2 linked regions of the Nothobranchius furzeri genome follow. The protein of the gene in region 1 interacts with the protein of each later gene in a biochemical or structural test. Links are inferred from orthologs where the notes say so. Each region holds a gene or a part of one and is shown on either strand. Other genes may lie near its edges.

Region 1 (4,343 bases):
AAGTGAGAAGCATAATTTTGAAGTTTATCCTGAACTGCACGGGCAACCAGTGGAGAGATTTCAGAATTGGAGAAATGTGTTGTCTTCTGTCAGCTCCAGTCAGCAACCTAGCTGCTGAATTCTGGACCAGCTGAAGTCTAGAAAGAGCTGCTTTACTGATGCCGTATAAGCAGGAGTTTGAGTAATCCAGCCTTGAGGTGATAAAAGTGTGGACCACCGATTTACCACCAGGATTTACCACCAGGATTGGATTGGATTGGATCTTTGTTGAAATTTAAATATTCTGCCTATATCTGTCTGTTGCACCCTCTGTAGGTAAAAACTACGCTACCCGGCCTGGGCCGACCCGGTACAGATGGGAATGGCCCATAAGATGTATACTATGACATCAGCTAGTACCATATGATGTCACAATGTTGTGAGCCTGTGTGTACTTGTTAGCGGTTCTGCCTTCTCGGTCTGCCAGCCAACTGCATTTGTTGCATTTTTCAAACAGGAAGTTGGAGTGGAGTAAGACTCTGGTAAGGGGTTACTTGCTCTTTAGATGGTTGTTTCTGAGTTGTAGTCGTTTTTGAACTGGTAAGTAGAAGATACGTATGCACATCGCCCCTTCAAGAATTTGTTTCACCATTTGCACTGGTACTGGATAATAAAAACTGGTCAATGAGTTAACTTTTATTATTATTATTATTATTGCCAGAGAAATTACAGTTCACATTAGAGAAATGTGACAAAGTCAAGTCATGCAAAGGGTTTAATTCCTTGCAATAAAATGTACTTACAGCAGGGGGCGCTCTAAGGTAACATTGGGCCAAATGTTGCAGGCAAAAAGTGTTTATATGTAAATGAGAACTTTAAATATCTTTCTACTGCTCAATTTGTTGAGCTGCTGTTTTAATTCTGCATAGAGACGCGTTTTAAAGGGTAACCTCCGTTCCGGGCGGCCGTGGACAGTCGGGGCCAATCGCTGACGCCGTCTGGGAGAGAGAGCGAAGCATCGTCGAGGGGCTCTGAGCGATGGTGGGAGAGCGACTTTCTGATGAGCTGCCTTTTGCGTGTAGAGGTCGCAGAGAAGAAATCTCCCCTTCTGAGCTCCTCCAGCCTCCGTGTAGCTCACTTCCACCACAGCTGCGCCTTTTTTTGTCACTGATTAAACACGGAAAGAAACATGACTGAAAACATCTGGGCGCGACAGACTTCAGAGGAAAGGCTTTCCCTCGTTCCGAGGTCGTTTTTGCCTTTTGTATTTCCTTGATAAATTCTCGTGGACATTTTGGATCTTCTTTAATGTTCCGTGATATTGTTCGGATCGGATACGGAGGATTTTTGCTCCGATTTTTTGGCTGTCCCGAGTCACTGGGAAGCTAAGACTTTGAAGTGTTTGGAAACAGCTGGAGACGTTAAGGAACTTGAGGGCTTGCGGGGGAGAAATGTGCGCACTGGGCCACCTTCGAGCAGCTCTTTAAGTGGGCAGCCTTAGCTAACGGCTAACCTAGCCAAACTCCCATTTTAACCAACAAACCGACTCTGTGATGATAGCAAATGCTTTCGTCCTGAAAACATTATTTGTATAACTTCACATTTTTCTCCACTAACTGGACATCAGTTCATGCCCCACGGAGTCGACGTGAATTGAGGTAAGTGTCTTTGTTTGCGCAAGTTCTCGCAAAATGCTAACGTTGGTGCTAGCTGCGCCGAAGCGTTCTGGTCCAACGCCGATGCTGTCCGACTTGAGTTTGACTTCTTATTTTAATCATTTTAAACTACAAAACTGTTCCGTTAAGTTCTCATAAAAATGCTGATGTTTGGTGATAATTTAGAGCTCATTTGTAGCTTAATGACACTGGGTTATGGCTTATGTATCAGCTTTTGGCTGTGTTTTTATCAGATCCACATCTGTGCTCGGCTGCTGCTTTGCTTTGTAGCTGTTTGCTGTCAGTCAGCCATCCATCCATCAGTTTCAACGCTGTGTTGAAAGCTGTCACCATGTTTAATGTCACCCACACCAACAGTCATTATTCCAATAGCTTGTAGCGAAAGTGTTTGTGGAGGGGGATTACAGTCGTCGTGCTGTACGTGTTTTTACTTTCATCACGTTACTAATCAGATTACTTAGAAAAATAGAGATTAATCGATTTTTTTATCTTGATTTTAAATGGGTCAGGCTTTCTGAGGTAAATGTTCCCCTCTTTTTGTTTCAGTCTGATGCTTTCAGATGTAAACGCTGAGAGTGTGTAGCAGATTGTGACCCACATTTGTGTGTTTTAAAAATAAAAATACCACACACCTGACTGCTGTTGAGAAGGGACGTGTAGTCAGAAGATGCAGGACCTGTCTGCGTGTGAATCAGATGATTCTTACAGACAACTTTAAACTGAAGCTTTTCATTTGATGCCTAGCTTATCAGCTTGTTAACAGATTTGGCTTCACAGACCATCCTTACTCTAATGTAAACAAAGACATGGAGCTATCAGCTGCAACTTGTTAAGGGATAAAATCTTTGACCTGATGAGTCAAACTCAGATAAAGTAGTAAGTTCCAGTGGGAAAATTAAATGTATCAAAACAGTAAATAAATTGGCAGTATTTACTCCAGATCACATTGCATGTTACTGAAGTCAATAACATTGATTGTGTTCTGTCCAGCATAATTAGATGGATTAATGTTTAGATTAGAACATTGATTTAGAAATGTTTGTACAGGCCCTTCTCAAAAAATTAGCATATTGTGATGAAGTTTGTTATTTTCTGTAATGTACTGATAAACATTAGACTTTCATATGTATTAGATTCATTACACACAACTGAAGTAGTTGAAGCCTTTTATTGTTTCTAAAATTGATGATTTTGGCATACAGCTCATGAAAACCCAAAATTCCTATCTAAAAAAAATTAGCATATCATGAAAAGGTTCTCTAAACGAGCTATTAACCTAATCATCTGAATCAACTAATTAACTCTAACACCTGCAAAAGATTCCCGAGGCTTTTAAAAACTCCCAGCCTGGTTCATTACTCAAAACCACAATCATGGGTAAGACTGCCGACCTGACTGCTGTCCAGAAGGCCATCATTGACACCCTCAAGCAAGAGGGTAAGACACAGAAAGAAATTTCTGAACGAATAGGCTGTTCCCAGAGTGCAGTATCAAGGCACCTCATTGGGAAGTCTCTGGGAAGGAAAAAGTGTGGCAGAAAATGCTGCACAACAAGAAGAGGTGACCGGACCCTGAGGAAGATTGTGGAGAAGGACCGATTTCAGATCTTGGGGGACCTGCGGAAGCAGTGGACTGAGTCTGGAGTAGAAACATCCAGAGCCACCGTGTACAGGCATGTGCAGGAAATGGAATACAGGTGCCGCATTCCCCAGGTCAAGCCACTTTTGAACCAGAAACAGCGGCAGAAGCGCCTGACCTGGGCTACAGAGAAGCAGCACTGGTCTGTTGCTCAGTGGTCCAAAGTACTATTTTCGGATGAAAGCAAATGTTACATGTCATTCGGAAATCAAGGTGCCAGAGTCTGGAGGAAGACTGGGCAGAGGGAAATGCCAAAATGCCTGAAGTCCAGTGTCAAGTTCCCACAATCAGTGATGGTCTGGGGTGTAATGTCAGCTGCTGGTGTTGGTCCACTGTGTTTTATCAAGGGCAGGGTCAATGCAGCTAGCTACTTCATGCTTCCATCTGCTGAAAAGCTTTAAGGAGATGAAGATTTCATTTTTCAGCACCACCTGGCACCTGCTCACAGTGCCAACACCACTGGTAAATGGTTTACTGACCATGGTACTACTGTGCTCAATTGGCCTGCCAACTCTCCTGACCTGAACCCCATAGAGAATCTGCGGGATATTGTGAAGAGGAAGTTGAGAGACGCAAGACCCAACACTCTGGATGAGCTTAATGCCGCTATCGAAGCATCCTGGGCCTCCAGAACACCTCAGCAGTGCCACAGGCTGATTGCCTCCATGCCACGCCGCACTGAAGCAGTCATTTCTGCAAAAGGATTCCCGACCAAGTAGTGAGTGCATAACTGAACATAATTATGTCAAGGTTGACTTTTTTTTGTATTAAAAACACTTTTCTTTTATTGGTCGGATGAAATATGCTAATTTTTTGAGATAGGAATTTTGGGTTTTCATGAGCTGTATGCCAAAATCATCAATATTAGAAACAATAAAAGGCTTGAACTACTTCAGTTGTGTGTAATGAATCTAATATATATGAAAGTCTAATGTTTATCAGTACATTACAGAAAATAATGAACTTCATCACGATATGCTAATTTTTTGAGAAGGACCTGTAAAGGGGTTCGCAACTTGGCGTCTGTGACCCTCCAAGGAGATTTCCACA
Region 2 (4,317 bases), on another chromosome or scaffold:
GGCAAATTCTGATCCATATCGTGCCTTTTTTACTCTGCTGCCATTCTGACTGCCCCACATCAAAATTATGCGTTAAAATACTCTTTTAAACATTAATTAAATGTGTTATTTTCATTTAAAACATTCAAACACAACATAATGCAATAAGACAATTATCCCACAACCACTGACAGTTTCACAAACTAAGTAGAATTGGTTTAGATAAATTTCATGATCAGGATCTGTCAGTAAATTTGTCTAAAATTGTTCCAGTCCTCTGTTTATATGATTAACTCTTTAAAGGGGCCAGTGTCTAATAGATACTTCCACTCACGTCATAAATGCTGTCAGTATGCCTTTTTACAAACTCTTAGAGTTACAGTATTTCACCCAAACAATCATCAGAAATCAAACTTGTCATGGTTTGCGCCATGGCACCATTCCACCAATCAGTGCGGGGCTATAACGCGCTAAATATTGGTGTCTGCAGAGCCAGAAAACTTCTCCTCTCGTGTTTATGGTCAGAACGCTAAAACTAACAATGTTCATGAAACTCTCACGTCACAAGGTTGACTAGTTGTGCTAAATAAGGATATATGTGTTGTAAATGTTAAACCCAATGAAATTGGTGAAATCATCGAATAAAAATCAAATCTGCCATATTTGAACATACGCCCTGAACAAGTAAAAGAAGTTATGAATATTTTTAGATAAAATTGTTGTTTTTTTAGACAAAATCTTCATAGTAACAGGAACAATTATGATATTGAATATATTTGCAGTTTTAAACTAAGATTTCTCTTGGAAATGGAGGACAGGTATTGTGCCAACCAATCTCACCATCAGTGATGATGATGATGAACAGGAGGAAGATGACAGATCCTGAAATATAAAATATTCTAAAATAATATAATAATCTATATTTGATTAGAAATAGTATCTATTGTTCAATAACGTTTCTAAAATATTCTACAGTTATCAGGTTTCATTAAAAAATTCTATAGTAATTCTGATATAATGTGTATTAGTAAAGAGTCATATGTTTTAAAATTAGTTAGATTATTCTAAAGTGTCTTATAATTATCTATATTATTCAAAAATAAAAACTTGTTCATGTTTTTTATTTTTGGGATTTCTTATTCTAGAACAGGACCAACGTCCATATTTAATCACCGTCTGAATTTCTGCTTGAAAATAAGTATTTTTGAAAATTGTAACAACAGAAGTGTACTTTTATTGAAAAATACAATTTTATTGAAAATTTAAAAGTTTAAATTCTTCAATGGGTGCCCAATAAAGGATTAATAGATAATTAATTAGATCGCATGGAGCACATTCTACACCCGTAAAATCGCAGGCCAATCGCGTGAGAGCATTGTAAACACTCAGCCAATAGAATAGTTCCTCTTATTTTATTAGCCAATCATATTTGCTTAGGGCGGGACCTGGAAGTGTTTCTATTTCCTTTTTTTTTATTTCTGCATGTAATAACGGCTTGCGTGTCTTGACGTGTTATGTAATCCACCGTACAGTAGCAGGACCCTCCTGTAACATGTGCGTACTACAAAGTTGCGCCACTTAGCCGGAGGCAGCTTTTAAAGGAGGAGAAAGTTAAGGGAGGTGGAGTACTGTGTGGAAGCCGGCCGGCAACCATGGAGAAAGTCAGCAGAGATGCGAAGACCAACCCGGCAGCGACGGCGAACCTCCTGTCGAAGGTGTTTTTCTGGTAGGTCAAATAGTACCCGGCGTGCGCGAGACGCTGCTAGCGTAGCGGGGAGTTCAAACGTGTCTCTGCTCACTTTTACTGTGTTTACATACTTTTGTCATAAGTAAAAGTATTCAAACGGAAGTGCTGCTGTGACAAAGCATGGGCTCAGCAGCAGTTCGATTTAAAACGTCTTTTAGCGGAGTTTATTCTCACTTTTGTTAGTTTTTTGACCCGTTTTGTTTTTATTATTACCTGTTAGCTTAGTGGCACCAGCTACAGGACACCTGGCCGTCGTGTCATCACACGCGCCAGCTCCTGAAACCGGAAAACCGTAAGCGCCAGGTGTTTTGAATTTAGACGATACTGCGTTTGATTCGGTTCTGTTCCAGGGGTCTCGGTTATTTACGTTTCCCAGGGAGAAAAGTGACGTTGTGCACAAGCTAAACACTCCCAAAAAGACTTAAATGATCTGAGGCCGTGACGCAGAAGTTAAATGTGACTCAAAAGGATTACACCAAGATATAACAATGAAAAAATCAAAGGAGTACAAATGAAAATCCTGCTAAAATATGCGCGTGAGGCCTCAGATTAAGTGTGATTGAGTTATTAAGGGTGACATAAATCTGTGTAAGTGGAAAACTGAGTTTACAGTATTTATTTATACTCATAAATGTTCAAATCTGTTGTTTTCGGGGATGCTGATTGGTCAGAAACAGCAAGTCTAAAAGTTTGTCTTGAATTAAAACTAGATTTTCTTGCAGAGATGTTGTTTGGATACTAATTGAGCCCGGTCCACTTGCTTACTACTATATTTACTGTTTATTCCAATGAGCTGAAAATGGCAGAAAAACTTGAATACCATAAAGATTTTTGTGTAAAACGTTGGTTCAAACTGTCCTCTCGAGGTTCATGGTGAATGTGTCAGGTGTCATTAGGCTCCTTAATGAAAAAGGGAAGTGTGTGGGATCAGACTAGAGCTGGATCATAACTGGTGACTTCCTGAATGGGATGAACTGGATCGCTCTGGCCCCCTGACTGGTCTGTTCTTCTCCTGTCAGGTGGCTGAATCCTCTCTTTAGAACGGGCTACAAACGCAGGCTGGAGGAGGATGACATGTTCGAGGTGCTCTCGGAGGACAAGTCGGAGTACGTGGGACAGGAGTTACAGAGGTGAGCGTGCTGCTTTATCTCCTAAATGTTGGACAGGTTACAGATTTGTTCTTATTGGTGATAAATGGAAGACAAGTGTGACCAGATCGATAAGCTAACAGATAGTGACTGTGGATTCCTGCTGCCTTGAAACAGCGCGGCGGTAGCAGTCTACTCCACGGTTCTCATGGGGATGGACATTTCCCATTTTCCAAACAGCGGCTTTTATGATCCCTTTAATCTGAGGCTAACAGGATACGCGTGGTTTAATTGTACTCGTTGTTTTCTTAAAACTGTGACTGAGCTTTTAGGAACTGACAGCTGATTGGAACCAGATCTGTTAGAAGCAAGCTGGACGAACGGTGATGATCGTCGTTAGTTTAGTTGAACTTTGTTGGTAAACAAACAAAAGCGAGTCTCTTCTCTCCCGTGCTGATAGATCCACACCTTGGTTCCAGTCTGCACCGCTACCCTTCTGCCCTCTCTGGTCTGAGGAGGCCGTTTGTTCTTTATTTTGAAATGTAAATTTCTCAGTGATTTAACGGGTTTTAGTGCTGCTCTGAAGGCAGCTTTCTTCTTTCTCACTTCCTTTTAAAGGATAAGGAGCCAGTAGCTGTGTAACTACTGTCTCGCAGATTTTTTTATCTCCAACAACACAAGCGGCTCTGTTTATTTCTGAGGAACTCCCAGAGGAAAAACCAGAACCATAAACGATGCACAACACCACACATGTTGATCTTTTTAACTCTTATCTGGCAGTTTGGATCCAGCCTTTTAAGGAGACTAATCAGGACATCACAACTCTGATCGCTTGTTTGTAAATAAATATCTAACTGGTGCTTGAGCTCACACTAACGGAGGAGTCGGGCCAGCAGAGACGTCGCTTTAAAGTGAGCCAGGACACTTCATCTTTATTTGACAGATTAGAGAAGGTACAGGTGTATCAGTGAGGGCTGCATTCCACTTCTGTAGCTGTGCATGCTGGTAAAACGACCAGCAGAGCTCCCTGTACTTGGAATGCAGCCCTTGTTGCCATGGCAAGGGGAAAGAAATGTAAAAGAGTTAATTTACTTCTAATTAAGGACCCGTAAGATGTAAGATTCCATAGTAAATATGAAATCAACCTTACGGACAGTTGGGTTATTTTAACCAGAAGATTGGAACTTTTGATTGCAGGGATTATGTAACACTTGTATTAAGTGAGAGACGAGAGAGTCACCTTTAAAACGTTTAAGAAGATTTATTTCTAAACAATTTTAAAGAATTTTAAACAAGACTAACTCTAAGTGATGAATGGATCTGGTGTGAATGAGACGTGAGATGAATGGTGTATGTGTGAGTGATGTAATCAGAACTCTCATATCTGGAGAAGCAAGTCTGAATGATGTTGTGATGTTTTGCTTTTAGCTATGATCAGAGTTTGATCGGAGTTTCATAAACACGAGACGCCATATTGTCGCTCTACACATACCATTAGGATGA

Evidence for each region.
Region 2: the proteins of erbin (region 1) and abcc4 interact in a test that uses a peptide from one of them, tested with the Homo sapiens proteins (2 studies listed by BioGRID and IntAct). The link is inferred for Nothobranchius furzeri from reciprocal best matches to the Homo sapiens genes ERBIN and ABCC4.

The regions. Positions count from the first base shown.
Region 1 is NC_091746.1:65,311,300-65,315,642, reverse strand, and holds the start of erbin (erbin), read left to right. Parts: upstream 1-1,408; 5' UTR 1,409-1,637; intron 1,638-4,343. UniProt on the Homo sapiens protein: Acts as an adapter for the receptor ERBB2, in epithelia. By binding the unphosphorylated 'Tyr-1248' of receptor ERBB2, it may contribute to stabilize this unphosphorylated state.
Region 2 is NC_091754.1:57,241,962-57,246,278, forward strand, and holds the start of abcc4 (ATP-binding cassette sub-family C member 4), read left to right. Parts: upstream 1-1,478; 5' UTR 1,479-1,631; coding exon 1,632-1,705; intron 1,706-2,745; coding exon 2,746-2,856; intron 2,857-4,317. UniProt on the Homo sapiens protein: ATP-dependent transporter of the ATP-binding cassette (ABC) family that actively extrudes physiological compounds and xenobiotics from cells.